Diceros bicornis minor: one gene and its partners. The protein of the gene in region 1 interacts with the protein of each later gene in a pairwise test. Links are inferred from orthologs where the notes say so. Each region holds a gene or a part of one and is shown in the gene's direction. Other genes may lie near its edges.

What was found.
Region 2: the proteins of SGTA (region 1) and TNFRSF13B interact in binary tests that used the Homo sapiens proteins (3 or more experiments, as listed by UniProt). The two-hybrid records come from large-scale screens. The link is inferred for Diceros bicornis minor from reciprocal best matches to the Homo sapiens genes SGTA and TNFRSF13B.
Region 3: the proteins of SGTA (region 1) and LAT interact in binary tests that used the Homo sapiens proteins (3 or more experiments, as listed by UniProt). The two-hybrid records come from large-scale screens. The link is inferred for Diceros bicornis minor from reciprocal best matches to the Homo sapiens genes SGTA and LAT.
Region 4: the proteins of SGTA (region 1) and SPPL2A interact in binary tests that used the Homo sapiens proteins (3 or more experiments, as listed by UniProt). The two-hybrid records come from large-scale screens. The link is inferred for Diceros bicornis minor from reciprocal best matches to the Homo sapiens genes SGTA and SPPL2A.

What each region holds. Positions count from the first base shown.
Region 1 is NW_026691553.1:1,949,860-1,956,873, reverse strand, and holds the start of SGTA (small glutamine-rich tetratricopeptide repeat-containing protein alpha), read left to right. Parts: upstream 1-4,012; 5' UTR 4,013-4,070; intron 4,071-4,115; exon of another isoform or gene 4,116-4,153; intron 4,154-7,014. Other genes in the region: THOP1 (thimet oligopeptidase), read right to left, coding at 2,120-2,135. UniProt on the Homo sapiens protein: Co-chaperone that binds misfolded and hydrophobic patches-containing client proteins in the cytosol. Mediates their targeting to the endoplasmic reticulum but also regulates their sorting to the proteasome when targeting fails.
Region 2 is NC_080757.1:466,371-473,437, reverse strand, and holds the start of TNFRSF13B (tumor necrosis factor receptor superfamily member 13B), read left to right. Parts: upstream 1-4,065; 5' UTR 4,066-4,082; coding exon 4,083-4,143; intron 4,144-7,067. UniProt on the Homo sapiens protein: Receptor for TNFSF13/APRIL and TNFSF13B/TALL1/BAFF/BLYS that binds both ligands with similar high affinity. Mediates calcineurin-dependent activation of NF-AT, as well as activation of NF-kappa-B and AP-1.
Region 3 is NC_080765.1:22,226,343-22,233,763, forward strand, and holds the start of LAT (linker for activation of T-cells family member 1), read left to right. Parts: upstream 1-4,420; 5' UTR 4,421-4,716; exon of another isoform or gene 4,717-5,010; coding exon 5,011-5,113; intron 5,114-5,297; coding exon 5,298-5,325; intron 5,326-5,437; coding exon 5,438-5,472; intron 5,473-5,725; coding exon 5,726-5,813; intron 5,814-5,944; coding exon 5,945-6,009; intron 6,010-6,098; coding exon 6,099-6,276; intron 6,277-6,348; coding exon 6,349-6,443; intron 6,444-7,421. Other genes in the region: SPNS1 (protein spinster homolog 1), read left to right, coding at 55-206, 305-371, 1,172-1,317, 1,621-1,776, 2,103-2,292, 2,616-2,681, 2,942-3,040, 3,364-3,535 and 1 more. UniProt on the Homo sapiens protein: Required for TCR (T-cell antigen receptor)- and pre-TCR-mediated signaling, both in mature T-cells and during their development.
Region 4 is NC_080744.1:46,950,521-46,957,846, reverse strand, and holds the start of SPPL2A (signal peptide peptidase-like 2A), read left to right. Parts: upstream 1-4,316; 5' UTR 4,317-4,397; coding exon 4,398-4,463; intron 4,464-7,326. UniProt on the Homo sapiens protein: Intramembrane-cleaving aspartic protease (I-CLiP) that cleaves type II membrane signal peptides in the hydrophobic plane of the membrane. Functions in FASLG, ITM2B and TNF processing.

The sequences.
Region 1 (7,014 bases):
CCACAGCCAGCAGGGCAGAGGTAGGGTTCACACCACAGTCTAACCTCAGCCCCTCCGCTGTGCACTAGTGTTGCACTCACAACCACCTTGGCAAATCTGCACAACTGGTCTTCCTGCCCCATTTCTGGGGCTCCACGCTGCACTAAAGATCAAAGTTCAAACCCTTATCAGAGTCCACACCAGAGGCTGGCAAATCTGCTTTACCACGAGGTAAAGATTTCACATGGCACTGAGATGGTGTGTGGCTCGGCCAGTCTAAACCACTTGGCCCTTTACAAACTGGTTTGCTGACCCCTGGTCCACATCACCCAGACTCTCCTGGCTCCAGCACGGTGGCTTTGGCCAACTTCTCTGTGCCCAGTCACACCAGCTTTCTTCAAGAAGTCTCCCAGGCCGTCCCGAAGGTCGCCCCCTCTGCCCTGCATCCCCATCCCACCAGTCTTCCTTTTCACAGCCCTGTCTGCGTGAGGCCTCCATGGCATTCCTGGAGCACCTGTGGGTCTCGAATGGCCACACCTGTCCCGAATTCCTTTTTGAGTTAAGGAACAGAGGCCTGCGGGTTCCCCAGCTGGATGTGGAATGTGGAGTAAGTACTTCTCCCGGAGAGTGGAGTGGAAAATGGCTTCTCCAGGAAACACGAACCTGGGCCTCATTCTCCCCTTCTGGCATGGCAGGAGCTGGGCAGGGCCACAGTGGTCCCGGACTCCCCGTTTGTGAACACCAGGGTGGGGAGGTCTTTGCAAGGTGCTGCTGGCTCAGATCTACACTTGGTGTCTCTAGGGCAGGGTTTTTAGCAGTGTCGTTAACATTTGTGGCTAGATCATCCTCTCTGGGGGGCTGTCCTGGGCTCTGTTGGGGGCTGAGCAGCATCCCTGGCCCCCACCCCCTCAATGCCAGGAGCACCCCCAGTGTGACAACCACAGATGTCCCCAGACATCGCCCAGTGTCCCCTGGAGGGGCACAATCACCCCAGGTGAGGAACTCTGATCTAAACTAAGTGGGAAAAAGAAAGACTCAACTCAGTACAGGTCAGATTTTCTGGCCAAATGATTTTGCTGCAAACTTAGGGCAAGTCTTTCTGTTTAGAGTATTTTGGATTTCAGAACTGCAGAAAAAGGACTGTGGGTCTATATTAAATTTGATGGCAAAGACAGGCTGCAGGGGCTCAGGTGAGAGATCAGTGTAAGCTGGAATTATCAAAAAAAAAAAAAAAAAGCCTCCTGGAAGAACTAGGATGTCAAACACTTGAGCGGCCGCAATTATTCTGTAGTCTTTATTGATTGCAACCTATGGGCCAGGTCTCCAAGCTCACAATCCCGCAGCAAACAAGGCTGACAACATTCCTGCCTTCCTGAGGCCTGATGACCCTCATTCTGATGATCATCTTTAATACAATTATCATCATCATCATGGCAATGGGATGGAGAAAGAACTGGGGGAGGAGAGGCGGGCAACAGAAAATTCCAGGAGGCAGCTCACAACCTGGGCGATTTTCTAAAGAAAATGAAAACCCTCCCACTGCGTCCCTTTGCCCTTAAAAGACCACGGACCGCCAGGTGTGTTCCAGCCAGAATGATTGGGTGCTGTCCAAACGCTCACCCGTCTTGCTGTCTCCCCGTCGCCTTTGCCCTCGCCGTTCCCGCCACCTGGGACGCTCCTCCCCCAGGTCTTAGCGGCACAGCTGCTTCTAAGCTGAAATGCCACCACTTCTCAGAAGCCCTCCCTGACCGCCCTCTCCAAGGAAGCGCCACCAGCCACGGCACCGACCACTCTCTACAGCCCTTGCTTGCTTCTTTACTTATTGAACATGTCTCCGGCTCTGGAACGCCGTCCAGAACTTTCGGTCTCCCCCAGAGTCCACCCCGGGGCCAGACCCGTCCTTAGCAGAAGCGACCCGGAGTTTGCTGAATGAATGAAGCGCTAGAACAGCTGCTTCCTTCATTCGGCCACCGAGGGGGCGGGTTCCTGGGGTGGCCCAATCCCCCCCCACTCCCGGGCCCTGGTCACTCGAGGGTCACCAGGGTCCGCTCTTGGGCCCAGGTCGCGCCCCCGGGAGGCGCAAGGGTGCAGCGGCGCCCGGGTCCGGGGAACGGGGTTCACACCAAGGGGCGGCCACTACCTGCGGGGGACTTCATGGCGGGCGGTTGTGCACTGGCGGCGCCTCTCTCCACCTGGTCGGCCTCCGGCCGCTGCAGCCAACCAACCCGCTGCACTCAGCGGCCGCCGCGGACTAGACTGAGGTGCCCGCCGGCCGCGCGCCCACTGCATGCTGGGAGGGCGCGTGCGCTGGGGGACAGGGCGCACGCGCACCCCAGCTCCGCCTACAACCGGAAGGGACGGCCCAGGGAGCTGACGCGCTCTGCGCACGCGCCGGGACGCTCCCTGCCCACTATTGGCTTTCAGCCGCTAGAGGGCGGAGCCATCGGGAGGCAAGGGAGGGACGTTTCCATGGAAACATACACAAAAACACACGCACGCAGGCAGGCGCGCGCGCGCACGCACGCACGCGCACGCACGCGCGCACACACGCACACACACGCGCGCGCGCGCGCACACACACACACACACACACACGACACACAGCTGGCACCTGAGACTGAAAATTTTTGGCTCTTTCTGTCAGTACTCTGCCCGGGCTTCTAGCTCCTGCTTTAATTTGTACTTGCATCCTTTCTACCTTATGATTGTGTATTTGGCTAGTTTTGCAACTTTTCAGAAGTTTTTTGTAGATTATCCCATTACCAGCACCCTGCCCAGCTTCCAGGGTCTAATAAATAGAGAAGGTGCGCCACATATGTCAACTCAGTCTGGTTAATCAATTAAATTAAACACAGTTAAAAAAAAAAAGAAACATAGGCAATTGAATATCATGGAGAAAGCTTCAGTAAATGGATCCAGGACTTTAAATAACAGGTGTTTTGGAAAAGTGCAGTAGGCTGATCTATATCTAGTGTTGTCAGTTACAACAAAGTCTTGAGCCGTCTAAGGCACCTGGAAAAAAATATTTTACTAGGATTAAACTGACCAAAAAACCCATCTCCTTTATTTCTGCAAGAGAAATTAAAATAATCCAGAGCGTTAACCGTGCATGCTTTTTAAATAGGATAAAAATGAATTGGGAGAACACTTCTGGCAAATTTAACACTAATGGTAGTCCGTTCTGAGTCATTCTAGGGAATTTCTCATCACTCACCCTCCATTAAGCACACCGAGCTTGATCCTACTTACTCTTCGCTTTCGCTGTTCTCTGCACCTGGAGAGTTTTTTCCCTCGTCCTCCAAATCCACCTCTGAATGAGAGGTCCTCCTTAACCATCCAGCCATCTACCTCCCCAGTCACAATCACGACACCTCATTCTTTCTTCTTAGCGCTTGCCGTTAAGTGAAATTTGTTAATGTATGTACTAGCTTACTAGTTTATAGTCTGCCTACCCCAATACAAGGTAACAAGAGCAGATACTTGGCTGGTTTTTGTCATTGGTTTGCAACAAATATTTGTTGAATGAATATTAGGGACCTGATGTAAACAAATATTTCTGTATTCCTTTACGTCTTGTGGATCGAATGAATAAAAGAATGCATTTGTGGGTGAGTGGGTGGATGGGTGGGTGAATAAATGAACAAAGATGGTGAGCTGATTAACAGTCGCTCCCATTCACAGAGCGCCTGTGATGCTCTCTGGGCGCCAGATGTTCAGACGCAGCTGCACCACGTGGCCTGCTCAGCACCACGTGGCCTGCTCAGCACCACGTGGCCGGCTCAGCCGGCCGGCAGAAGTCCGCCACTGTCCCACCATGCACCGCTCCATTCCCGCTCCAGAGGACGAGTCAGTCCTGATTTCCGGCCTCCTGTCGGTCGCAGAGGTCAGTTGCCCTAACGACCAGCTCGTCCCGCCTCCAAATTACGTCACTTCCCCCCGCGCCCACCGCGCTAATCGACGCGCCTGCGCAGAAGGAAAGCCAACGGGAGCTAGCCCCTACCGCGCAGGCGTCGCGGCCGGGGGGCGGGGCCGGGCGGCACCGCGGTGCGCAGGCGCAGCCGTCGGTGGGTCGGGGTTCGGCCGCCTGAGAGGTGAGTGGGCGTTCGGTGCCGAGCCGGACGGGCCGGGGTTCCGCGGTTCGGGACTCCCGGGGCTCCGGGGCCCGTCAGAGGAGGTCGGTACGTGGTTGGGGTCGCTGCGATCCGCGGGATGCTGTGAATGGGCGGCGCTGAGGGGAAACTGAGGCCGGGCGGCGTCGGGCGGGCCCTCGGCGGCCCAGGTCCCCGTCCGCCGGACCCCAGGCGCGGGAAACGCTGGTTCGCAGGCCCGCAGGGGGACGGCGGGAGGTAAAAGCGCCCCGCACGTCGTGAGCGCGCGCTGGCTGTCCGCTGCTGCCCGGACACACGGCCCCTTTGAATCGGGGAGTCCCGTTCGTGGGGCGCAGGTCGAGACCCCTGTCCCAGCGCCGCCACTTTCCACCTGGCTGAGCTTGGCCGGCCCCCTGGTTTCTCCGGGCCTCAGTTTCCCACTCTGTAAAACGGGCGTCGTCACGGTCCCTGCCTCGGGCGGTGCTTGGGGGGATTAGAGCCGCAGGACCCAGCAGAAGTGCGAGCTCAAAGCGGGGTCTGCAGTTATGTCTCATCTCACCCTTAGGGTCTTCTGCGTATTGTGCCAGACGTGGGAGAAATCCGGGGCTGGGGACCAGCTCCACCACCTCTCGCTGGCTGTGTGAGCTTGGGCGAGTCGCCTCCCCTCTCCGAGCAGCACTTTGCTTCTACAGTAGGGGCAGTAGAAGTATCTGGCTCCTAGGGTCATTGTGAGGTTAAAAACACGTAGAACATTGCTTTAATCAGGTTCCTGGTGCTTGTAGGGCATGGCTGGTTTTGTTATTAGGCGCCAGAAGATGTGAGTGTGCTCTGCATCTTTTAAAACGACTGATGTTTCTGTTTCTTCTGTTTCTGTAACTGATTATTTGTTTTGTCTGCTTTTCCGCTCCCCAGCCAGGGGTTTTAGCCCCCCAGGGGACACTGGATGATGTCTGGGGACATTTGTGGTTTTCAGGGGGCCGGGGGGCTCCTGGCATCGAGTGGCTGGGGGCCAGGGATGCTGCTCAAAACCCCACAGTGCCCAGGGTGGCCCCCCACAGAGAAGGACCCGGCCCCACTGTCCACAGTGCCGAAGTGAAACCCTACCCTAGACTAGCGATTGTTTACCAGCAAGGGCTCCGCGGGGTTGGGGGGTATTATGTGCAAGGTTTTGTGTGTGCACCCATTTTTGGGGGTGAGAAAAGGGTACTTTGGAGTTTAGGTCTGGAATCAGACTGCCTGGGTTCCAAACTGCTGATTTGTGTCTCAGCCGGGTGAACTTGGGTGGTGCCCCCATCTTGCTGAGGATGGGGATTAGATTAAACAACCTGGGTTCTCAGCAAACTGTGGTCGGGGCGCAGATCCAGCTGCAGCCTGTTTTTGTAAACCAAGTGTGGGAACCCAGCTGCCCCTCCGTCGCGTACCCGCTAAACTGCGGCTGCTTTTGCACTACAAGAGCAGAGTCCAGACGTTGCCACAGAGACCCTGTGGCCTGTGAAGCTGAAGGCACTTACTCTGCCGCTTGTCAGAAAATGTTTGCTGACCCCTGCAATAAGCCATTGCATGTACAGCAGTCAGCTGGGGGCCTAGAAATTTCTCAGCATTCCACGGATTTCACCAGAGGTGTATAATTCAGTCTTCCTGGAAGGGTGAGTGACTCGGAGTGGGTTAAGCTCTGCCCCAGATTGAGAGCTGTCCTTTTACTTGATCCTACATTTTTTTGCCAAGACCCAGCACTGGCCTCGGCGGGAAACGCTCAGAGAGGGTTGGAGGAATAAAGGGAATTGTTGGTAGGTCAGCAAAACATAAGGTTTGTTATCTCTGCTGCTGATGAGGAAACCAGAACCAAAGAGAAACGGCCTCCCCGAGGAACTTGGTCACGTGGCTCTGACTTTGACGAGGACCTAACATTTTCCCGAGTCCATACAGGTCAGACGCCCCCAAGTGCTGGCGCTCAGAGGGAAGATGATCTGTCTAAGGGCTCACAGTCCAGTGGGGGGAGACAGGCCAGGAAAGAGTTGGGAAGCCTTGTAGGAGATGCTGGACCAGAAGCAGGACTGATACTTGGGCTTTGCTGGAAAAAGAGGGTGTCCAGCTCTGGCCGAGGAGGTGACCATGCAGCTGGGCGTCGGAGGGAGAATAAGATTCCTGGATGAGTCGGAGGGAAAACGAGCAGGTGAGTTTGAGTGGGGCATAGAGGGTTTGGTGAGGGGCCTCGTGTGCACACTCGTGAAGTTTCAGGAGGCTGTCAAGGGGTCTTAAGTGTGCCGGGCATCCTGGTGGCATTTTAGAACCTGAGCTGGAACCTGAGCTCCAGCTGTCGGGACTGCCCTTTCTGGGGGACCCGTGGTGTCCTAGGACTGGGGAGAGGAGCAGAGCACCCGCCTGTACACGCTGGTTTATGAGAAGAGCTGTGGGTTCAGGGGTGGACAGTCCTTCAGAAAGAGGATCCTTCTCCTTCTTGGGGTGTGGGGAGGCCAGTCACTCATTTTAGTAAGTTGTGCCATTTTTTCCCTTTGAGTGATCAGTTCTGGGCAGGGAAATAGAAAGAATAGAGGCTGATCTTTTTTTAGTTTAATGATAAAATGAAAAGGTGGACTGAGAGGTGGAAGGGGGTCTGAAGACCACCAGAGGAGCTGGCACCGGGCCCCCCGCCACTCCCGGGGGCCCGCGTCCGTCCACCCTCCCCAGGCTCCCTCCTGCACCCTGCGCCTCTAGACCAGCGCCCCGCTGGTGCCTTCCGAGAACTCATAAAGCCCTCACTGTTCGGGGAGAGAGGACGCCTTCTCTGAGAATTTTGTCCAGCGGCCAGAGCCCTACAAGTTGTGATTGTTCACAAGACGCTGGGTGCCTAGGAGCCGTCGAGGAAAAGCGCCATCCTCGTGCTCTGTGGGGCCGGGCTTGGCGAAGAGGAGAAAGTTCGTTCGTCTCAAAGCTGGGGCTGCACTAA
Region 2 (7,067 bases), on another chromosome or scaffold:
TAATAAAAAGTTTTGAGGGGAAAATTTTAAAATAGAAAAAGAAACTAGGTCTTCCCACAAAAGATTGGGTGCTTTTATTGTAAAGAAATCAGTGTTTGCTTCTTTGGTGGGTTTTGCTCAAGTAACAGTATCTAGCCTTTCTGAGAAATTAGTACAAATCGAAGGAACAGGTATATTAGCAAAGTAGGAAATTCAGCACATCTGAGTCGTGTATGTAAATTGCAATCATGAAAATCAGGGCTTTCGCTGCATTTCTAAGAAATGTCCTTTTTTGGGTACTCTTGCTTTTATCTTACCTCTAAGACTCTTTAGAGAAGGTTCAACGGCGTGGCCTCAAAGGGGCCAGCGGGGGTGGCAGACACGAGGGCGGGATGAGACGAACACCCGCCGCCTCAAAGACCCTCCCAGCCCTGGAGTGGGCGAGGGGCCCTGCAGTCACAGCATCGCACACGCGGGCAAGGAAATACTGACCAACACGGCAGCGTTCCCTCTGACAGAGTGACTCCCCCTGAGGAATTCCAGCCATTCCGTGAGTCACGGAGAAGATAAAACAGACATTAATGAGCACATGCCAAGTGTTTAAGAATAGCGCCTGGCACACAGTGAGGGGTTCGGAAATGCTCGCTCCTGTTATTATTCCTAGCGAGCATTCTAAGAGCTCATTTAAAAAGGTAAGGACTGATTGATAGGATATATTAAGGGAGAAAAGGAGCGTGTTAACAGTGTGTTTAATCTGGATAAGCCAGCAATTACGTAAAAAAAAGCGTGTGGGGGGAAATGGGGCAAAATCTGTCCTGTAGTGACCCACACTCGCACGAAGGCCTGGGCCCTAGTGGAAGGCTGTGGGAACAGACGTGCTGGCGGCTACTGCCTCTGAGGAGGGGAGTCTGGAGTATCTAGATTGGGGCGAAATTTGCTTTTTGCTATATTCTCTTTCACACTGTTTGAATGTTTCTTTACCACGTGCTCATTTCAACAGTTTAAATACACGTATATGAATGAACCAGTTCCCAAACCTTGAGGTATACAATGTGTCTTTGCTCTGGGTTCCAAAACTCTGCTGTCGCCTTGACTGTGGAGCTTAAAATTAGAACTCCGCACCCCCAAGGAGACAAGTCAGAAGGGCTGGTTTCAGAATGAGGTTTGGAAGGTTCAGAATGAGGTTCGGAAACCTCCACCACCTGCGCTGAGGCAGCCCAGAGTGCTGGGGGCGGGGCTGGGGGGTGTTGTCGTGGGTCGTGGCCTAGACCGAGCATGCCCAACGATAGCAATTCCCTGCAACCGTGCGGCCCTGGGGGGAGGGGTCACGTGTGCTCTGGTCTGTGCAGTCCTGTTTCAGCTTCGTGGCCATCCATGTGATGGATCAGGAGAAAATGAGACTCGCAGACGTCAAACAACTTCCCCCCAAGATCCCCACAGCTTTGTTCTGCCTGCTTTAATCCCACCTAACACGGAGTGAAACTAGACACCGCGGATGACCCCATCTTCTGTTCCCATTCATCCCACTCATGCTGGCACAGGCAAGCGATTGCATGGGGAGAGAGGTCAGAACAGTGGCTATTCTGGGATGGGGGTACTGCCTGGAGGGGGAGGGAGGGAGCCTTCTGTGGGGGCTGAAAGTGTTCTAAGTCTTAATGTGGGTGGTGCTGCCTGGATATGCGCATATGTAAACATTCATTGACCTTCCACAGGACATGCATGCATTTCATCATATGTAAACGACGCCTCTAACTAAAGAAATAGAAACTAAATGAAATCCATTGTCTGTAAACTGTTTGAGAAAAGCATTAACAAGCTGTGATCAGCAATGGGACATCAGGGAACCCCACCATGCAGTTCTCAGCCACCCCAAAAGTCAAGTGGGATTTTGTGGGCTTGTCTTTCAGTTTCCGCCTAACCTATGCTGGCTGTAAAACTCCAGAGTGCTGTCTCACTGACCAAGACCATGCATGTGGCTCCAGAGAGCGGCAACCTGTCCAGAGGTTGCGTTTCTGGAAGGCACAGTGTTCAATAGATGGAGACAAGCTGTCCAGTGGTCAGAGCTCACCCCCTGGGAGCCAACCGCTTTGTGAGGTGGTGAGAGCCTCGGCCCTGGGAGTGTGCAAATCGAAGGCAAGGAGGGGATGCAGTGAGGGCATCCAGCAGTGACTCTGGGCTTGCCCCATTTCAACAGGCAGAACGTTCCTGGCAACAGAATCTATGGTTGCCTCTGGCTCACGCGTCTACCCCACCAGCCCAGCCGTGGGTTTGCTACATTTCATTGACACAAGTAATATGTGGTATCTTCTCCATGTGAAAGTTAAAACAGTATGAATAGGGCTAAAGTCCCCTTTGACCATCACCGCCAACCCTGCTCCCTTCTCGCCCCCCGCCCCCTGGATGCAGCCACTGTCATCATGCACAGCCCTTCAGACTCGCGTCACATTCACACGTACGCGATCGTGGACAATATAGTGGCCTTGTGTGCGTGTGTGTGTGTGTGTGTGTGTGATCTGCTTGTTTGTGTTTTACTAAAAGGCATCTTACTGTAAGTATCATCCTATAAACTATGTTCTTTCCACTCAACGATCTGTCTTGACAATCTTTCCACGTCACTGCTTACAGATCTGCCTCATTCTTTTCAGGCGACGCGTAGTGTTCCTGGTTACGGCCTGTGTACCTTATTTATTCAGCCATCTCTATTGGGTGGGCATTCGCGTCGTTCCAGTTGCTCACTGTTATTGACTATGCTTCAGCGAACATCCCTGTGCCTCTGCGGCACAGAAAGAATTTCTGGGTCCTGGGTTAGGCATATGTTCCACATTTACTTGACGCTGCCAGGTTGCCCTCTGAAATGGCGGTACCCTCCTCCAGCAGGGCGTGAGTTCACATTTCCGCAGATCCCCTCCAGTCCTCGACACCATCAACTTTAAGACTTTGCCAACTTGCTGGATGAAAATCAGTTTTTCATGGTTAAGTCGTACTTTTCTGCTTATTGGTGAGATTAAGCATTTTTTAGGGTTACGAGCCATTTGCATTTTCTCTCCTGTTCTGCTCACCATCATCTAAATTGGCCTTTGTTCCCCGCACCGCTCCCCCCTGCCCTGACCGCTGCCTGGAAGGCCTATCTCCTTCCCTCCACCCGCCTGATTCCTTCTCAGCCCTCAAAGGTCCCTTCCTGAGTGCCGTGGGCTTCCTGTGACTTCTAAGTGCGTCCCACTCCAGCTTAAGCCGCGGGCTCCTCATGCTCACGGAGGTTTCAGAGGAGCTGGGAAGACAAGAGTGTGAAGAGGGCTACAGCACTAATTTCCATATCATTTAGTGAGAACCTGCTCTGTGCCAAGAACTTGCTCTACAAATTCCACTGTGTTAACTCACTTCATTCTCATAACAACCTGTGAGACAGGGACTGTTATTATATCCATTTTACAGAAGAGGAAATGGAGGTCCAGAGAAGCTAAGTAAACTGCCGCCAAGGCTTCCTGCTGCTAAGTGGGCGAGCTGAGACTCAAACCCAGGCTTTAGTGTCAGCCTCTTGGAGTGCTTTGAAGGGAGGAAGGACAGAGCTTAGGAAGCACAGAGAATGGGCACCTAACCTGGCCTGGGGCAGTCAGGGATGGCTTCCCAGAGGAGGTGACACCTCAGCTGAGCCTGAAGAAGGAATAAGAGGAGATGACCGGGCAATGAAACAAGCAATAGTTGTCCGGGACGAAGGAAGGGCCTGAGCAATGCTCGGAAGCTGGAGAGCTGTTTCCCGGGCCTGAGCCTGGCGTGTCCGCGGTGGGGCAGGAGACCAGGTCCCGGTGGGAGGTCAGGGCCAGATCTGGGCCATGCCAGGGTTGGTAGCCCATGCCGGGGCGGGGTCGGGCCTTCCCCTGCTCTGCCCGGGTGAGCAGCGTGCGGGGGGCTCAGCAGACAGCGCCCGACGGGACTCCTGGGGCGCCGGGCCGCGTCCACCCCCAGCAGCTCCCGAGACAGCGCGCAGGCGCGGGGGTGAGGGGTGGGGGTGCCGCTGATTTACATCCTACAGCTTGGGGGGAAAACCCAGGAAGTGCAGCAGGGGCACTAATCAAATCTGAGGCTAATAATAAACGTCCTGAGTAATGAGGGGCCCGGGCCAGAGCAGGAGAGGTGGCCGGAGCCGGGCGGGCCCGGAGGAGCGGCGTGAGTAGCCGGGGAGGCGCGGGTGGTTGGGAGGGCTCGGCGCCGCCTGGGCTCCGTGGGGTCGGTGGGCGCGACGCCCACAGCAGATGGGCAAGCTGGGGCGGTCCGGGGCCTCCCCAAGCCCCCGCCCGTGGAGAGCCCAGGTCTGGGGACTCCGGGGTCTGTGCCTTGCAGTCCAGGATGGGAGCCCCGAGGCCAGATGGTCAGCCACCGGGGCAGGAATTCCCTCTGAGACCCCTACCACAAGCTGGCCAGAGGGCCCGGAGCCAGATTCACCAGGACTTTTTGTGTGTGTGTGAGGAAGACCAGCCCTGAGCTCACATCCATGCCAATCCTCCTCTTTTTTGCTGAGGAAGACTGGCCCTGGGCTAACATCCGTGCCCATCTTCCTCCACTTTATATGGGTCGCTGCCACAGCATGGCCTGACAAGAGGTGCGTGGGTGCGCGCCTGGAATCCAAACCTGTGAACCCTCGGGCTGCCAAAGCGGAGCACGGGCACTTAACCACTGCACCACCGGGCCGGCCCCCACCAGGGTATTTTAAAAATATTTTATTTTGAAGTTGACACTTAGGCAAGAGTAGAGAGGAGAGTTTACAAACCCTCCTGGTGGGTCACCCGCTTCACATTTATCAATATGTGACCAACTCTGGTCACCCACGCCCCCCATCCCGGCTCCGGCCCCCTGGAGCATTTTAAAGCTAATTCCGAACATCGTGTTGTTTGATTTGGGGACACCTCAGGATTTATCTCTTAAAAACTCTTTAAAAAACAAAAACCAAAAAACTAACCATGATGTGGTGACCACTTCTGAGAACCATGATCCCTCAGTCTCTCCCCACTATCGGCCGGTCAGTGTTCAGACTTCCCGATGGTCTCAGCTGTGCCTTTTCCTGTTGATTTGTGCAAACCGGGATCAAACACAGCCCACGTCAGCCTTTGGCCCTATGTTTTAATCTAGCACCGTTCCCATTTTTTCCCTGCTGTTTATTTGTTGAAGAAGCTGGATCATGCGTCAGGGCAGCTTTTAAAGGTTTGCTCGAAAGCAGAAACCTGGAAGCGTAGGTCGCTAAAGCGGATAAAAGGGGCCAGGTCCTCCCTGTGCAGATGGGACCCGGGGCCGGATCTGAGCGGGTATCAGGGCCCACAGTGGCACAGCCTATTCTCTCCCCCACGCATCAGGTAGGGAGCCTGTCTTTTCTCTGTTCCGTTTTGTGTTGTGACCACATCCCCAGACGTGTCCTCAGCTAAGGGCTCAAATGTATAAAATTTCTGAGAGAGTTGGACCAGGGAGGGACCAGAGGTCGCCTTGATACAGGATGAAGCTGCCTGGGCCCCCAGGACCAACCGTGAGTCGGGATGGGTCAGAGCTGTGACCTGGCACTGATGGAGGCTACCTCATGCCGAGGACTCAGCCCTGGCCGGGAGTCAGGAGTTCTAGCTTCTGCTGCTCACGGACTTGCTGTGTGACCTTGGATGAGCCGCTTCACCTCTCTGGGCTCCCTTTCCTCAGCTGTAAAAAGAAGAAGAGCCTCTGTTCCACCAGATGTCCCTCAAAAACACAGAAGGGCTTTGTACCTGCCAGAGCCCCTCTTGAAGAGTCACAAGCAGTGGTTCTGAGAAGGGCTGCCGTTAAAAAAACACACTTTGACTTTCTTTAACCCAGCATTTTTCAAACTAATTTGACCCCAGAGGTCTTTCTTGGTGCAGCACCTATTAACAAGCCAAGCACGTGAGGAAGCATGGGCAGTGGGCTCCAGGAATCGTCCCTCCTGGCTGCTCTCCAGTCTCAGGGTGCACGGGAGCTGGGCTGGGAGCCGGGGCCACAGACCAGGCGTGCGGGACTCCTTCCCTTCTTCCCCGTGTGTCAACAGAGCTTCTTTCCCAAGCTTCTGTTCTGCCTGGCCGGTGTCAGTCCTGGGGTTTTTCTGCCCTCTTTGGGGCTGACGATGACTCTGGCATTTTCCGTAGGTCCAGGCAGTGGTAGAGGAGGGGGAGCAGGGACGGCACCCTCTGGCCACTTGGGCACTGTCTCTCGGTCAGGTCCAGCGGCGTGGTGGCTTCCCGGCCACGTGTCTTGAAAGCTCTCTCAGGCGCCCTTGTCGGATCTGACCCACTATCCACCCAACCATCACCTCACAGGGGGTTGGGTGGGAAGCAGTCTCTCCCTCTTTTCTCCCCAAATGAGGGAAGGGTCAAGGGTCTCTTTTTAATTTTGTTTGATTTGTTTGTTTTTTAAATTGCTTTTTGAATATGTAGTATAGTCACATGGTTGGAAGCTCAGAAAGTATAAAAAGGTATATAACAGAAAGCCTGCCTCCCCTCCCTGTCCTCTGTCTGCCCGGTTCCTGCCTCCCCTAGAATAAATAGCTTTATTGAGATATAATTTATATGCCATAAAGTTCACCCATTTAAAGTGTACAATTCAGTGTTTTTTAGTGTATTTACAGAGTTGTGCAACCATCACTATAATCTAATTTTAGAAGATTTTCATCCCCAAAGAGAAGCCTTGTCCCTCCTCATCCTCCCCACCCCCAGCCTTAGGCGACCACTAATCCACTTTCTGTCTCTATAGATTTGCCTATTTTGCACGTTTTGTAGAAATGGAGTGTGGTGTTTTGTGACTGGCTTCTCTCACTTAGCGTAATATTTTTGAAGTTCATCCATGTTGTAGCACGTATCAGTACTTAATTCCTTTTTATGGCCAAATAATATTCCATTTTATGGATATACCACATTTTATTTATCCATTCATCAGTTGATGGATATTTGGGTTGTTTCTACTTTTTTGTCTATTATGAATAACGCTGCTATGAACATTTGTGTACAAATATTGGGTGGACATGTTTTCATTTCTCTGGGGAGTGGAATTGCTGGGTCATATGGTAATTCTGTGTTTAACATTTCAAGGAACTGCCAAAGTGT
Region 3 (7,421 bases), on another chromosome or scaffold:
CTGGGAGGCTGGCTGCAGGGTGGGGTGCTACCTCCCCCATGTCTTGTTCCCCAGCGGTTCTGGCTGCTCCTCCTGACCCGGGGCCTGGTGGGGGTCGGGGAGGCCAGTTACTCCACCATCGCGCCCACTCTCATCGCTGACCTCTTCGTGGCAGACCAGCGGAGTCGGATGCTCAGCGTCTTCTACTTTGCCATCCCAGTGGGCAGGTGAGTGGGCCTTGGGCCTGATGGGGAGGCAGAAGGGCCTGGCGTGGGGGACGCGACTGACCAGCTGTCTCCTCTCCTCTCCCACTCCCTTCCCCCAGTGGTCTGGGTTACATTGCAGGCTCCAAAGTGAAGGATGTGGCCGGGGACTGGCACTGGGCTCTGAGGGTGAGTCTGGTCACGGCCTGCCGAAGGTCAGGAACATTCTCACTGATCCCCGTTTCCTACCTTCAGACACCCCCTCTTTTGAGGCAGTCTCACTCTTGCAAGCCTTCAGGAAGCCTGGCTGCCCTCACCATGAAGCCATGTGCTAGAACTCTTGGTTGCAGGTGACAGAAGCCCATTGAAAAACTGTAAGCCCCAAAATGGGACTTTCTTGGCTCTCATAATGGAAAGTCCCAGGGTGAGCTTCAGGTAAAGCTGGATCCAGGACTCACCCACTGTCACAGGAATTTGATCATCCTTTTCTCAGCTCTGCTTTCCTCTGTGTTAACTTCATTCTCAAGCAAGGGAAAGCTCCACATGTTTGTATTCCTATTTAGAAGCATCAGCACCCTGGATCCTTGGGCAGTAGTCCTACATGGTGTCTGATTAAATGAACATGGGTCACATGCCTGCCACTGAATCAGTCACTGAGGCTGGGGAGGGTAACACTACTCTTGTTGGCCAAGTCTGGATTACAAGCCCCGCCCTGTTTGAACTACATGGATTGAGAGAAGGCAGAGTGGTTTCCTAGAAGAAAATTAGAGTACTGTTACCAAAGAGGGAGCAGCTAGGCTTGCAGACACGGGGCCCCTAGTGGCATTTGCCCCTCCCCCCAGTTGTAAGTTTAGCTTCCCTGAACAGGCACTCACCTGGCTGTTTGAGGTCTTGAGGCCTGAGTTGCCTTAATACCCCCTCACTTTCTCCCAGCCCCAGGTTGAGTGTGTCCCTCCCTGTGCCTGTCCTGAAGCCCACTCTTCCCCCAGGTGACACCAGGTCTAGGAGTGCTGGCTGTTCTGCTGTTGTTCCTAGTAGTACGGGAGCCGCCGAGGGGAGCTGTGGAGCGCCACTCAGACTCACCGCCCCTGAGCCCCACCTCATGGTGGGCAGATCTGAGGGCTCTGGCAAGAAAGTGAGTTTAGTTCCATTCTCACCCAACATCTGAGGCCCCCCAGGGAGGCCTGACATCTAGTTTGAGATTTAGTGGGCGTGGTCTTTGTTTTCTCTTATGCCAGCTGGCTCTACCTCAGGGCCTGGAATTCAGTCACCACTGCCTCCTTGTGGCAGCAGCTTGAATTACAGGCCCAGATCCTGGGCACCAGGACAGCCTTCACCCGGGGCCCAGACCTTATTAAAATAAGTCAGGAAGGGAGAACAGAGGTCCCCTACCCCAACACCTCAGTGGAGTCTGACTTCTCCTCCCAACTGTCTGCAGTCCCAGTTTCATCCTGTCTTCCCTTGGCTTCACTGCTGTGGCCTTCGTCACGGGCTCCCTGGCTCTTTGGGCTCCTGCCTTCTTGCTGCGTTCCCGTGTGGTCTTGGGGGAGACCCCACCCTGCCTTCCTGGAGACTCCTGCTCTTCCTCTGACAGGTACCCAGATTGGGGCTGTGCTGGGTGGCCTGCAAGCGGCAGGGGATGGAGTGGAGAGAGTCTGCGATTCAGACTCAGGCAAGGAGAGTTTGAGCCCCAACCCCAAAGCTACTTCCTCTCCCCGAGTCTCAGTGTCCTGGTCTGGGAAACAGGGATGGGGTGACGCCTTCCTCTTTGAGCTTAGTGAACTGTGGGGTGCTGTGCCTGGATAGACCTGGGCTGTGAGGGTGGCTGGGATGGACCATCTTCCTCTCCAGGCCGTGGGGGTGAGGCTAGGGGGCTTTGCAGCCAGAGGGTCTAGCCCGCACCCCCTCCACTCCCCCCAGCCTCATCTTCGGGCTCATCACCTGCGTGACTGGCGTCCTGGGTGTGGGCCTGGGCGTGGAGGTCAGCCGCCGCCTCCGCCGCTCCAACCCCCGGGCTGACCCGCTTGTCTGTGCTGCTGGCCTCCTGGGCTCCGCACCCTTCCTCTTCCTGTCCCTCGCCTGTGCCCGTGGTAGCATCGTGGCCACCTATGTGAGTAGCCCAGAGGTATCAAGGGGGGTGTTCCGGGTACAGGGTGGAGGAACGGGGTACTGGGGCAGGACTGGGGTCAGCCAGCCAGTTCAGAGCCGACTCTGGAGCAGGAATACCCAGCTTTGCATCTCAGCTCCAGCCTTTCCCAGCTGTGTGACATTGGGCAAGTACTTAACCTCTGTGCTGGGTTTCATCACCTGTAAAATGGGAGTGATAGTAGCACCTGTTGTGAGGATTAAATGTGTTAACAGATGGGCCTGGTACCTGGTAAACCCTCCATGTATTTGCTCTTCTTGTGATGAGGACCCCCCCCCACCCCCCAGATTTTCATCTTTATCGGAGAGACACTGCTATCCATGAACTGGGCCATTGTGGCTGACATTCTGCTGGTGAGTAGCCGGGCCGCTCCAGGGTTAGCCCAGAGGCTAATGAGAGCAGGGAGTGGGGGCAGCAGGCCTCACTTTCCTTGAATTGTGGCCTTGACCTCATCTTCAAAACCAGCCCCAGACTGACTTCAGAGTCCAGCCCCAGACGGGTCTGTAGCCTTCCCCCCAGTCACACCTCTGAGCCAGGGTTCACCTCTGACCTCAGCCTAGGCTGAGCCTTGGCCTTGTCCTCAGCCTCTGCCTCCTGCCCCTCCTCCCCCCAGTACGTGGTGATCCCCACACGACGCTCCACCGCCGAGGCCTTCCAGATTGTGCTGTCCCACCTGTTGGGTGACGCTGGGAGCCCCTACCTCATTGGCGTGGTGAGCACTGCCCCTTGGCCGGGCCTGGGGTGGGAGTTGGGGGCCCCTGCATTCCTAGCACCGGCTGGTGGTCACTGGCCTGAGCCTGGGCCACATTGGAAGGTCCCAGTTAGGGTCTGTGCCCTCTGTGCCAGGCCCCCTCACCTTGGGTCCTCAACTAGTCAGGAAGGGTTTTGTCCTGGCAGATGCCCACAGTGAGGCCGTGGAGCTCGCCTGGCGGACCAGCCCTCCTGCCCTTCCTGGCTCCAGGCTTTGTTCTCTGGAGTTCGGGGGCTCTCTCTCCCTGACCCCGTCCCCTGGCCTTCCTCTCCTGTCTCCGGCAGATCTCCGACCGCCTCCGCCGGCGCTGGCCCCCCTCCTTCTTGTCTGAGTTCCGGGCCTTGCAGTTCTCACTCATGCTCTGCGCCTTCGTTGGGGCGCTGGGGGGTGCGGCCTTCCTGGGCACCGCTCTCTTCATTGAGGGCGACCGCCAGCGAGCCCACCTGCACGTGCAGGGTCAGTTGCGCCTTCCCTCTGTCCATCCACAGCTCCTTGCCCTGCTTGTCCATCCGTCCGTGTGCTCGGTCCTGTGTGTCTGTCATCCCTCAGTCCACAGCCCTCCCCTCATGTGGCTTCAGCTCTGCCTGTCCAACAAGCTGATGCCCCTGTGTCCACAGCCCTGGTGGCTCTGCTGCCCAGTCCATTGCCCGCTGCCTGTCGGTCCCCTCCCTGGCTTTGTGTCTATCTTTGCCTCCAGCCCTGGCTCTGACCCCTTCCCGGCAGGTCTGCTGCATGAGACAGGGCCCGCAGATGACCGTATCGTGGTGCCCCAGCGAGGCCGCCCCACCCGGGTCCCCGTGTCCAGTGTGCTCATCTGAGGGGTTGTTGCTCGCCCACCTGCACACCTACCCCAGGAGGTGCCCGGGCCCAAACCCACAGCCTGGCCCAGCTTCTGGGAGGGACCTTGGGCCATGTTCCAGCTCCTAGACACTACACAGGCAGCCAAGCAGGGGGCAGGGGGGTCCGGGAATGGGGTCCCCCTCCACTGGAGCCGCCCGAGGGGCTCGGTGCTATTTGTACCTAAATAAAATTTATAGCCAGACCCCAAATGCCTGCTGAGTCTCTCTCGGTGCTAGCGATCTCTGACCTCTGGACTGCAGGGGATGCCATGTCTGCAGCCCCAGGACCCCCTGGGGGCTGTTGGGTCACTCCTGTGGGGCCTTGGGCAAATCCCTGCCCTTTGGGGCTGGGTGAATGAGAGGGTGGAGTGAGCTGGCTCAGTGTGATGGTGAGTCACGCCCACGTTTCCCCCAGAGCCCGCCCCTCTTGGCAGGCTGGCCAGGGGGAGGGGGTGTGGGCACTGCCCTGTGCCCCTCGGGGATTCCTGGTGTCAGAACCTCCCTCCCTGCTGCCTCCTCGAGCCGCGGCTGAAGGCTGCGGCTGCTGGCCTGCCAGGCTTCCCTCCTGCCACTGGTATAGTTGCCTCTTGTCCTGGAGGCCGGCAGAGCCTTCTTGAGGGCCTGGGGTGGCTCATCGGGCCTCCTCCCCCTCCCCACTGTCTGGGTGGGGGTGGGAAGGGGGCGGGTGCAGCCGGCTGAGGAGCCCGATGATTTCCTGCCCTCACCCGGCGCTCACCACAGCTTCCTGCCGCAGGCGGGCGGGCGAGGAGGAGAGGCGGGCGCCAAGCTGAGGGGCAGGTAGGACTGGGGTGCAGGGTCTGCGCAGGGTGGCTGGTGCCTCAGACTCCAGTCAAGGCCCTGGCCTGACCGCCTGGGGATCAAGGGTCTTCCAGAGCCAGCGCTGACCCCCACTCAGTCCAGTGAGAGGAGGGGATCCAGGGCCCCCAAGGAGGGCACAGCTGTCCCCACCTGGCTCCTGCCTGGTGCCCACTGGTCCCGGCACCTTGCTGGCCCAGTCCTCGCCCTGCTGCAGCTCTGCCCCTGAGGGGCGTGCGGCGAACAGCCAGGCCTGGTCCAGGCTCTCTTCTGCAGATGGAGGCGGCCATCCTGATCCCCTCCGTGCTGGGACCCCTGCTGCTGCCTCTCTTGGCCGTGTTGCTGATGGCACTGTGTGTGCGCTGCCGAGAGCTGCCAGGTGAGCGCGAGGTGGCGAGGTGGCCAGGTGCTCGGACACACTGACAGGGCTCCTCACCCTGCCCCCAACCCCTTGCTCCGTCTTTAACTGTCCCTAACTCTGTCCTGCACACGGAGATACGGAGAGCCCCGGCCTCCATCACCGTTTCCCCTTGTCACCCCCTTTTCCTGTCTCTCTTTTCCAGGCTCATATGACAGTGCTGCCTCTGATAGGTGAGTCGCCCCCCGACCGTGTGTCTGTCTCCCTCAATACTCATGCGGGGCTGGGCTGGGGGGCTGGCTGGGCCTCTCCCGGCCCTTCCCCTAGCTGTGTGTTTCCTGCCAGCTTGACCCCGAGCAGCATCGTGATCAAACGGCCTCGTGAGTACACGGGGTGTCTCCTCCCTCGAGTAGGGGAGAGGGTCCCCGGGGGTGTGAGAGAGCGTGTGCCTTTGTTCAGGTTACCCCCCACTGTGGCGTCCACATGGCCTTGACCTGAGCTGGGGATGGGGAGGGAGATGGGTGGCCTCAGGCCTGTCCAGGGGTGTCAGGGGTTAGCCTGCCCTTTGAGGCCTCGAGGATGGTAGGGGCATGAGGTTGGAGTCATTCCTTCAGCTTGGTCCTGTGTCCTCAGCCACGCTCGCCCCATGGCCACCGGCCGCTTCCTACCCGCCTGTTACCTCCTTCCCACCCCTGAGCCAGCCAGACCTGCTCCCCATCCCGTAAGTAGCCCGTTCCTCTCCAGAGTCTCCTCTTTACCCCTCACCTCCTTGGATTGGGGCCTCTTTCCCTGTTGTTACCCCTCTTGTCCCAGAGCCCCACTCCAGCATAACCTCTGACCTTTGACTCCCAGGAGATCCCCACAGCCCCCCGGGGGCTCCCACCGCATGCCATCTTCCCGGCAAGGCTCAGATGGTGGTAAGCGTGGAGCGGCCTGGGGGGCTGGGGCTGTACATAGGCTAGGCCCCGCCTGAGCTGACTCAGTCTCCCTCACTCTCTCTCTGCAGCCAACAGTGTGGCGAGCTATGAGAACGAGGGTGCTTCTGGAACCCCAGGTGCCGTGGCTAGGGGAAGGCTAAGGCCTGCCCCAGGCTTTGCCGACCCCCGTGTCGTTACCCCAGAGCCAGCCTGTGAGGACGCGGATGAAGATGAGGATGAGGAAGACTATCACAACGAGGGCTACTTGTGAGTTGCCCGGCGGGAGGTGGGGGCTGCGGCCGGGAGTCCGTGCTCACACACCCCTTGACTTCCTTACAGAGTGGTGCTTCCTGACACTGTCCCAGCCACCGGCACCGCCGTCCCGCCACCTCCTGCGTCCAAAAACCCCGGCCTCCGAGACAGCGCCTTCTCCAGTGAGTCGGCCATTTCTGACCCCTCCCTGGCCCCTCCGTGCTGGGGCCCCTCCCCTTCTCCTTCTCCTGTTATTTCTTTGATGCTTGCTACCCTCCATTTTCTCTCCTCTCTCTTTCTAGAACTCCTGTTCTTCAGAGAGTGGACTTCCTGCTCCGATCTCATTTTCTTACTTTTTCTCTTCTCTTTCCTATCTTTTTATCTTTTCCTTTTATTGTTGGCGAGATTTCCTTGACTTTCTTCTTCTTTTGACTCCGTTCCTTGATTCTGCTCTTTTATGTTCTCTCTTCTATCTGAAAGTTCTTTGTTGATCTCTGACTGTTCCTTTTTCATAGCCTCCTGTTCTTGTTTCATGGAGGCAATATCATTTTGTACATTTCTAAGGGTATTGATTATACATTTTGCCGGGGGCAGTTGTTTTGGAAGTGTTCTTCTGCTTCCTGCATTGCTTTGGTTTCCTTGGAGCTGCTGTTCCCCCTTCACTTTGGTCTCATCCTGCCTGTGAGAGGCTTTCCTCAATGTCTGGTGGTCTTCAGGGTTCTGTTACTCTCCTCTCTCTCTGTACTCACTCTGGGCCACCCCTTCTACATCCTGGCTTCATTTGCCATACAGATTCCCAGTGCCTCTCTCCTGAGCTCCAGATCACTTGTCCAAGTGCTTCTTTTCATTCATTCATTCATTCGTTCACTCACTCATTCATTCATCGTATTCACTGTGTGCCTCTGATACAACAGCTCGTGAGGTAGAGTCATGATAAAAGAGCTGATGTTTGTTGAGGGCCTACCACATGCCCTACTAAGAGTTTTCCATGTGTTGACTTATTAAACCTCACAATGCCCAGGTGCTGCTGTGCCTGCCCCTTCCCCTCCTGGCCTCCCTTGTCACGTCTGTACAATGGCAGCGCTTACTGTATGACAGGCCCCGTTTTAGCATTCACTGCCATAATCCTCAAAACACCCCACGAGGTGGGTGCTGTTACT
Region 4 (7,326 bases), on another chromosome or scaffold:
TAGCTGCATCCCACAACTTTTGATAAGTCATGTTTGCATTTCCCTTCAATTCAAAATATTTTCTTAATTCCCTGTGATTTCTTCTTTGGTCCATAGGTTATTTAGAAATGTGTGTTTAGTTTCTAATTATTTGAGGATCTTCAAGGTATCTTTCTGTTATTGATTTCTAATTTAATTCTGTTGTGGTCAAAGAACATACTTTGTGTGATTTGAAATCTTTAAATTTATTGAGACTTGTTTTATGGCCAAATAGTTTATTTTGGGAAAGGTCCCGTGTAGCCTTGAAAATAATATGTATTAAGCAGTTGTTGGGTGGAGTGTCTATAAATGCCAGCCAGGTCAAGTTGGTTGATAGTGTTGATCAAGTCTTCTGTATCCTTACTGATTTTCTACCTACATGTTCTTTCAATTATTGAGAGAGAAGTGTTGAAATCTTTAACTATAATTTTAGATTTGTCTATTTTTTCTTTCAGTTTGATTAATGTTGGAGCATAGGGTTTCTTTTCTTTTATTTTAACTTTGCAGATGATTCTAATATGCAGCCAGAGTTAAAGAATATTGCTCTAAACCAATAGTTCTCAAACTTCAGCATGCATCAGAATTGCTTAGGGGGCTTATTATTAAAATACGGATTTCTGGGCCCTACTCCCAGAGTTTCTGATTCAGTAGATCTGGAGGAATTTGCATTTCTCACAGCTCCAAGGTGATGTTGATACCGCTGCTTCAGAGGCCACACTTTAAGAATCACTGACTAAGCCAAAGTATCTTAACATTGGTTGCATATTAGAATCACCTGAAGAGCTTTAAAAATTATGATACATAGGCTACATCCAGACCAACTAAATTTAGGATCTGCTTGGGGAAAGGAGGAGTAGAGCAACCCAGGCATCGGTATCCTTTAAAGCTCTCTCTCTCTCGCTCTCTTTTTTTTTTTTTTTGTGAGGAAGATCAGCCCTTAGCTAACATCCATGCTAATCCTCCTCTTTTTGCTGAGGAAGACCGGCACTGAGCTAACATCTATTGCCAATCCTCTTCCTTTTTTTCCCCCTCCAAAGCCCCAGTAGATAGTTGTATGTCATAGTTGCACAACCCTCTAGTTGCTTATGTGGGACGCGGCCTCAGCATGGCCGGAGAAGCGGTGCGCGCCCGGGAGCCGAACCGGGCTGCCAGTAGCAGAGCACGCACTTAACTGCTAAGCCACTGGGCCAGCCCTAAAGCTCTCTTATGTGATATAAAAAACAGTCAAGATAGAGAATCACTGCTCTATACTAAAGTAATTATCCGGATTGCCCAAGAAAGTCTTTGCGGCTTGTTACCAACACTTCATCAGTGTCCCCTGAGTGAAAAACACTGTGCTGTTCCAGCAAACAGGTCGTATGAATGACCTAGTGCCCTGGGGCAGGAGATTGGGTTTCAGCTCCTCCTCTTCCACAGTCAACCTAGCAGTTTCCTTTTTCGCAAAATGGAGCCAATGTCTCCTACCCGCTTCCTAGAATATAGAAAGCTTCTGACAACCAATAACATTCTATCTTTTGTCATTGGGAAAACATTCCATTAACTATCTATACTTAGAAATTAAAATGATCCTTAATTTAATGATACTTATTTTCCATAATTGGGTTTTTATGCATAGCGTTTTAGAGAAGAAAAATATTGACTAAGAATTATCTAGGTACACTTTATCCTACCTAATACTTGCAGGGAAATTCACGTGTTACAGGTATACTCCAAAGAACCTTTAACGGCAGTCACAGCAGCAAAGTTATTAAACCAGAATCTTTTAATCTTCCATTAACCCTCCCATCTTCCTTCACTTCATCCTGCACAGGGGCTGTGACGAAGGAGAAATCTTCTGGCAGGAGAATTATCACAAACAGTGCTGACACTTTGGACAACAGCCATAACACAGTCTTGTACTTGTCTTCTCCTTCTCCTTCTCTGCCTCTCCTCCTCCTTTTTTTTCCTTTTTTTAATTTTCGGAGTAATTTTACTCAAATTACAAATCATGTAATTTTTACAATCATCATGTGAGGTAGGCAGAATAGGTATTACTGTCCACATTTTTCAGCTGAAAACTAAAGCAGGCAAAGAGAGATTGCACAAGGAACTAGCCTATAATACAGGTTCTTTGGTTCCAGGTACAAAATTTTCTCCAACTGAGGGGAAGGAAAAATGGGCACAAATGTAGACAGGAAAAACCAGAGAACTTCCGACAGCCTCAGGAGCCACCTTGGAGATCACTAGGCACAGGGCCACTATGAGCAGAAGGGAATATTCAGAGATGAAGTCATCTAGTTCATCACAGACATTTTACAAAAGAGGAACCTGGCTTGCACTGGGCAGCTAGAAAGTGTGAAAAGAGTAGGATTGACAGGCAGAAGACCTGAGTTCTGGCTTCACTGTGCCACTAAACTTTGGACCAACCCACTTAGCCATCAACCTACAGACATTTGCCTTTGGATATCCCACAAGCATTTCAAACTCATGTCCAAAACTATGTCTCCTCCCTCACCCATGCCCCCTTCATCTTCTGTGATGATCACCTCAAAAATTGGCCCAGGGCAGGATTCTGAAAATCATCCCTCTCCTTCATCTCCCATGTCTCTCTCTGTTACCAAATTCTGCTATAAGTCTTGCAGATTCATCTCCTCCTCCCCATTTCTTCCGCCACTGTCTCAGTTCAGGCCCTCACTATGCCTGGCCTGATTAGGTTACTACAGTTGTCTAACAGATCTCCTGGCTTCCACTCTCGCCCTGTTTCAATACATCTGCCGCCCCACCCGCCACCACAGAGAGTTTTCGGAAACAGAAATCGTCTGTCACTGCTCTACTTATTATTCATTTGCTCTTCACCACCAACTGGATGAAGCTAAGATCCCAAGCAGGATGTCCCAATCTATTTGTGGTCTGGCCTCTGCCTTTTTCTCGCACTTCATCTTTCACTGCTAGTAACCTCAGCCAAGCCCAAGTTTTGCAGTTCCTCCAATGTCACCTTTGGCTTTGACACTAATAGTTCAGTCTTCCTGGAAGTCTCCTCCTTCTCCTGTCCATTGCCTGGTTAAAATTAACTCACCCTTCTAGACTCAGCTTAGGTTGGAATTTTTCCTGGCACTTCTTTTATATATCCTTTTGATACTCCCATAGCATCTTGTGCAAACAAAAGAGTCACTATTCACCCTGCACTGTGTTTGCTCACACATCTGTGTCCCTCACTAAACTCAGCTGTGGAATGGCAAGGACAGCATCCTATTCAGGGTTTGGTATTGAATAGTCAACAAATATTTGAGGACCTACTTTATGCCAAATGTTATAGGTCTATTAAGGGCCATAGCAGTGAAAAAAGCAAAGACACTCCTTGCTTTCAAGTGGGAGGTGACATAAATAAATAAATGAACAGATAAGTAACCAAGAGAATATGCAAGTGAAAAGTGCTATGCGGAAAATTAAAATAAATCTCGTGATACGAAAGTGACCGCGTGGCTACTTTAGATTGGGTATGTCAGGATGTTCCCTCTGGGAACTGACATTTAAGCTGATAAGTGAATGCCAACGAGCCAGGTATTCAGAGAGCACAGCATTCCAGCAGAGAGGGCTACCAGTACAAAGGACAGAAGAACCAAAGGTGGCTCTTGTGGCTTAAAGCAAGCGTGGGAAAGTCAAGATGGGGTCAGAGAAGAAGGCAGGAGTTGTATTATGTAAACTTTGTGGGCCAGAGTAGAGTTTTGATTTTGTTCTAAGTGTGATGGGGAGTGATATGATCTGATTTATATCTTTAAAAAGATCTCTCTGAGACTGCTGTGTGTATAAAGGGCTGTTGGGAGTGGAAACAGATCAGTTTGGAGGAGAAAGACGTCAGTGGCCAGGATTGGGTGGTCGCAGCGGTTTTGGAGAAAGTGGACGGCTTTCGGATACATGTGTGAGCGTGGCCAGGCCCCGCTAGGGAGCCGATGAATTAAGCACGTGGATTTTGGCCCGAGCACCTGAGTAGTTACTGGGGAACAGAGCAGGCGCTCTGCGACTTGCAGGAGGAGGAAGAGGGCCTTGAAAAAGTCCCTTCGCCTCCGCGGACTCCGGACTCCGGGGAGAGTCAGGTCAGGCAGCTGGAGAGAGCCACGCCCAGCCGCGCAGCTGGCGGCCTGCCAGCGCCGCGACGCCGAGAGGGCCGGCGGGCGGCGCGCGCGGCCCCGGGACTCCACGTGCCCGGCGCGGGGGTTTCCGCGTCCTCGGGCGGGGCCGGAAGAGGAAGTCGGCGCTGCGGTGGCGGCCCCAGCTGCAGCGGCGGGCCCGGCCAAGCCCCGCCGCCCGCCCCTGTCCGCCGGCCGCGGAGACAGCGACGCGGCGGGACCCGAGCCTGCCCCCGCTGAGTCGCGCCGCGCCGCCGGGCACCCGCCAGTCCGATGGGGCCGCCGCGGCCGCTGCCCCCCGCCGCGGCCGCGCTGCTCTGGGGCTTCCTGCTCCCGCTGGTAAGGGGGGCGGGCGGCGGGCGGGCCTCCCCGGGGCGGGGCCGGGCCGGGACTCCCTTCCCCTTCTCCCCACCCCTGGGCGGCTGCCCGGCCTCCCCTCTGCCCGCGCCGGTGCCGCCTGCTCGTGCCTCTCCCTTTCCTCCCCCCCTTCCCATTGCTCCCTTTCCTTCCAGCCCCCTCTTGTTCACCCTTTCCTCCAGCCTTCCTGCCCTCCACCCCCATTCCCGTCCTTTGAAGTCCCCGAAGCTCCTACCCCCAAGAAAGCTCTCTGCGGAGCCCCGCAGGCTACGTTGACCTTGGTTCTTCTCTCTAGTTTTTCACTGTTCCGGGCATTTTTAATTGACCTCTGAGTTTTAGCGTCTAGACTTCCCTGCAGCTTCTTAACCTCTTTTCTTCTCAGGAAGAAGAAAAAAAAATTATACATGGCCCCAGGGTGTTGAGCGGTTCAAGGACTGTGCTTTCATTTAATTGCTCTAATATAGTTTTTCTTTTTCTTCTTCTACCTCCTCTGTAGTTCCTGCTTGGCCTTAGGGCTCATTGGATTCCATTCTGGGGGGTTTTGGTAATCGTAGTGACTTAAAATAATTTTTAAAAGAACACAACAAAGTGTAATGCCTTTAGTGGTTTTCAGTTCTCTGCCTGGTTTAAAGGGGAGGGGAGTCGGTTAAGTAACAAATATGTGTTCACAGGTTTGTTTTTTTCATAATTACGGAAAAGTAATGATGTTTTAAAATTCTGCATCAAGCAACTGAGTTTCACTGGGTGGTCAGGACGCCAGTGTTCAGTGTTTGTTTCTTGTAAATTTCACTTAGGGAGTTTCAAGTTGGAAACTTTTATAAGCTTTATTTATATAGAATTGGTATGGTGTATGCTGTCTAATTCTTTCCATTAGAATGTGTAACTTCTCTGAAGGAGTATGTTTTCCATGCTCTCCAGTTTAGAGGATTACTCTTTGTGAATATATTCAATATAAAAGTGTCTTGAACATTTATTAAGAAACCAAAAATCAAAGCCTAAAATGGTTAAGTGCCTGTGGTATGTTAGTAACTTTGCTAGGCAACATTAGGAACATGAATGAGATAATGTATCTAAAAATTGCTTCAGCGCCTGGAGTGTGTGTGGGTGATACAATATAAAGAGAATAACAAAGTAGCAGTGTTAGTCTGAATCTTTGAGGTGTTTACCATGTAATCAGATATGTCTGAAAGATAATTCAGATAGTATGTAAATACACATAAAACTATATGCTAGATATAAAACTTGTGTGATGTTTTTGCACTCATTTTCATTTGAACCTCTTAAACTAATTGCAAGAATATATCTTCTATATCACATTCCTATTAATCTTTTCTCAACACAAATTCATAATTAACCTAATAATAATTGCTCATAAACTCACATTGAAATTCTTATCAATAGCTCTGAACCCCCTCACTAGAAAAATGTAAGCAGAATTTTCATATAACTTCAAGGGCTTCACAAATCTAAAGGTCATCCCTGTTCTGAATTGTAGCTAGCCTCTGTCTCTCACATTCTAGATTTTATTCTTTTTATATCCCACCATTTGTTGTATGTCACTGTGTTAATCTTGGGTTCTGTACTCCTCAGTCCCAGAGTTGTTGGGGACTCAGTAACATTCTTTTGCTCCACAAATATTTAGTGTGCATCTGTTATATGCCAGGCACTGGGCTGGTGACTATGAGTAAACTGACAGGATCTTTTTTCAATTGTAAAGCTCTTTTTCAGTGCCAACCATTATTATTGATTTTCTATTTCTTATTAATTTCTCAGTGAGTTTGTTTTCTTCTTGACCTTTCCTTCCTTGAATTTCGTGAAATGATCTCTTTCTCATTCCTTTCCTTTTCTGAGGAACGCAAATAAATCTGGTATCATTTTCCTCAGCAGGAGCTTGCTCTCTCCTTCCTTCTGCTTACTTGCTGGATAGCTAGTTCTTTTCCTCCACGACTATCTGGAGAGTTTTTGTTTGTTTATTTTTTACCATTTTCTCCCTGAAGCCCTTGTTGTTCTCTTCCCTAGTCTTACAGCTCCAGGTGGCCTCTCTGAATTCATTTGAATGAATGATGCCAGCTGAATCATTTCATGTCTCCTTTCTGGGCTCTTGAAGCTGGCATTGCTGGGCCTTTTTCGCCTTAGTCATGTAAGAACAGGGCCAACATCCTCATCTAGAAGCAGCACATAATCTCCAGAAACCACTACCACATCCTTGAAGAAGAGAGGATTTCTTATTAGAAAGGGCCTTCAACATCCTGTAGCCTGCCCTCCTCAACTTGTTGTCTTTACATCAGAGTGACCTCACTGTGTATACTGAACTCAAGCTACAGCATGCCTGGCTGTTTTACTGTTTTCTAAACGCATCAAACATTTAAGTCTAGAAATAAAAAAATTCTCACTTGCCTCTGTCCTATTCCGTTTCTCACTCGTCCTTCCCCAGTCCAACCCCCACCGCTAGCCCCAACCTGTTTGACCTTTATTTCACAGTGTTGTTGGGACCCAGTCACGGAGTTCTTTTTTTTTTTTATAATTTTATTTTTATTTATTTTTTCCTCCAAAGCCCCAGTAGATAGTTGTATGCCATAGCTGCACATCCTTCCAGTCGCTGTACATGGGACACGGCCTCAGCATGGCCGGAGAAGCGGCGCGTCGGTGCGCGCCCGGGATCTGAACCCGGGCCGCCAGCAGCGGAGCGCTTGCACTTAACCGCTAAGCCACGGTGTCGGCCCATGGAGTTCTGTTTCAAAGAGAATGAGTGAAGTTTAGCCTGGATCTGTTTTCTAAAATTGCTTCAAAGTTCTCTGAAGAGTTCTGAGTGTTTCTCATAATGTTTTTACAAAGTTCTATTTTT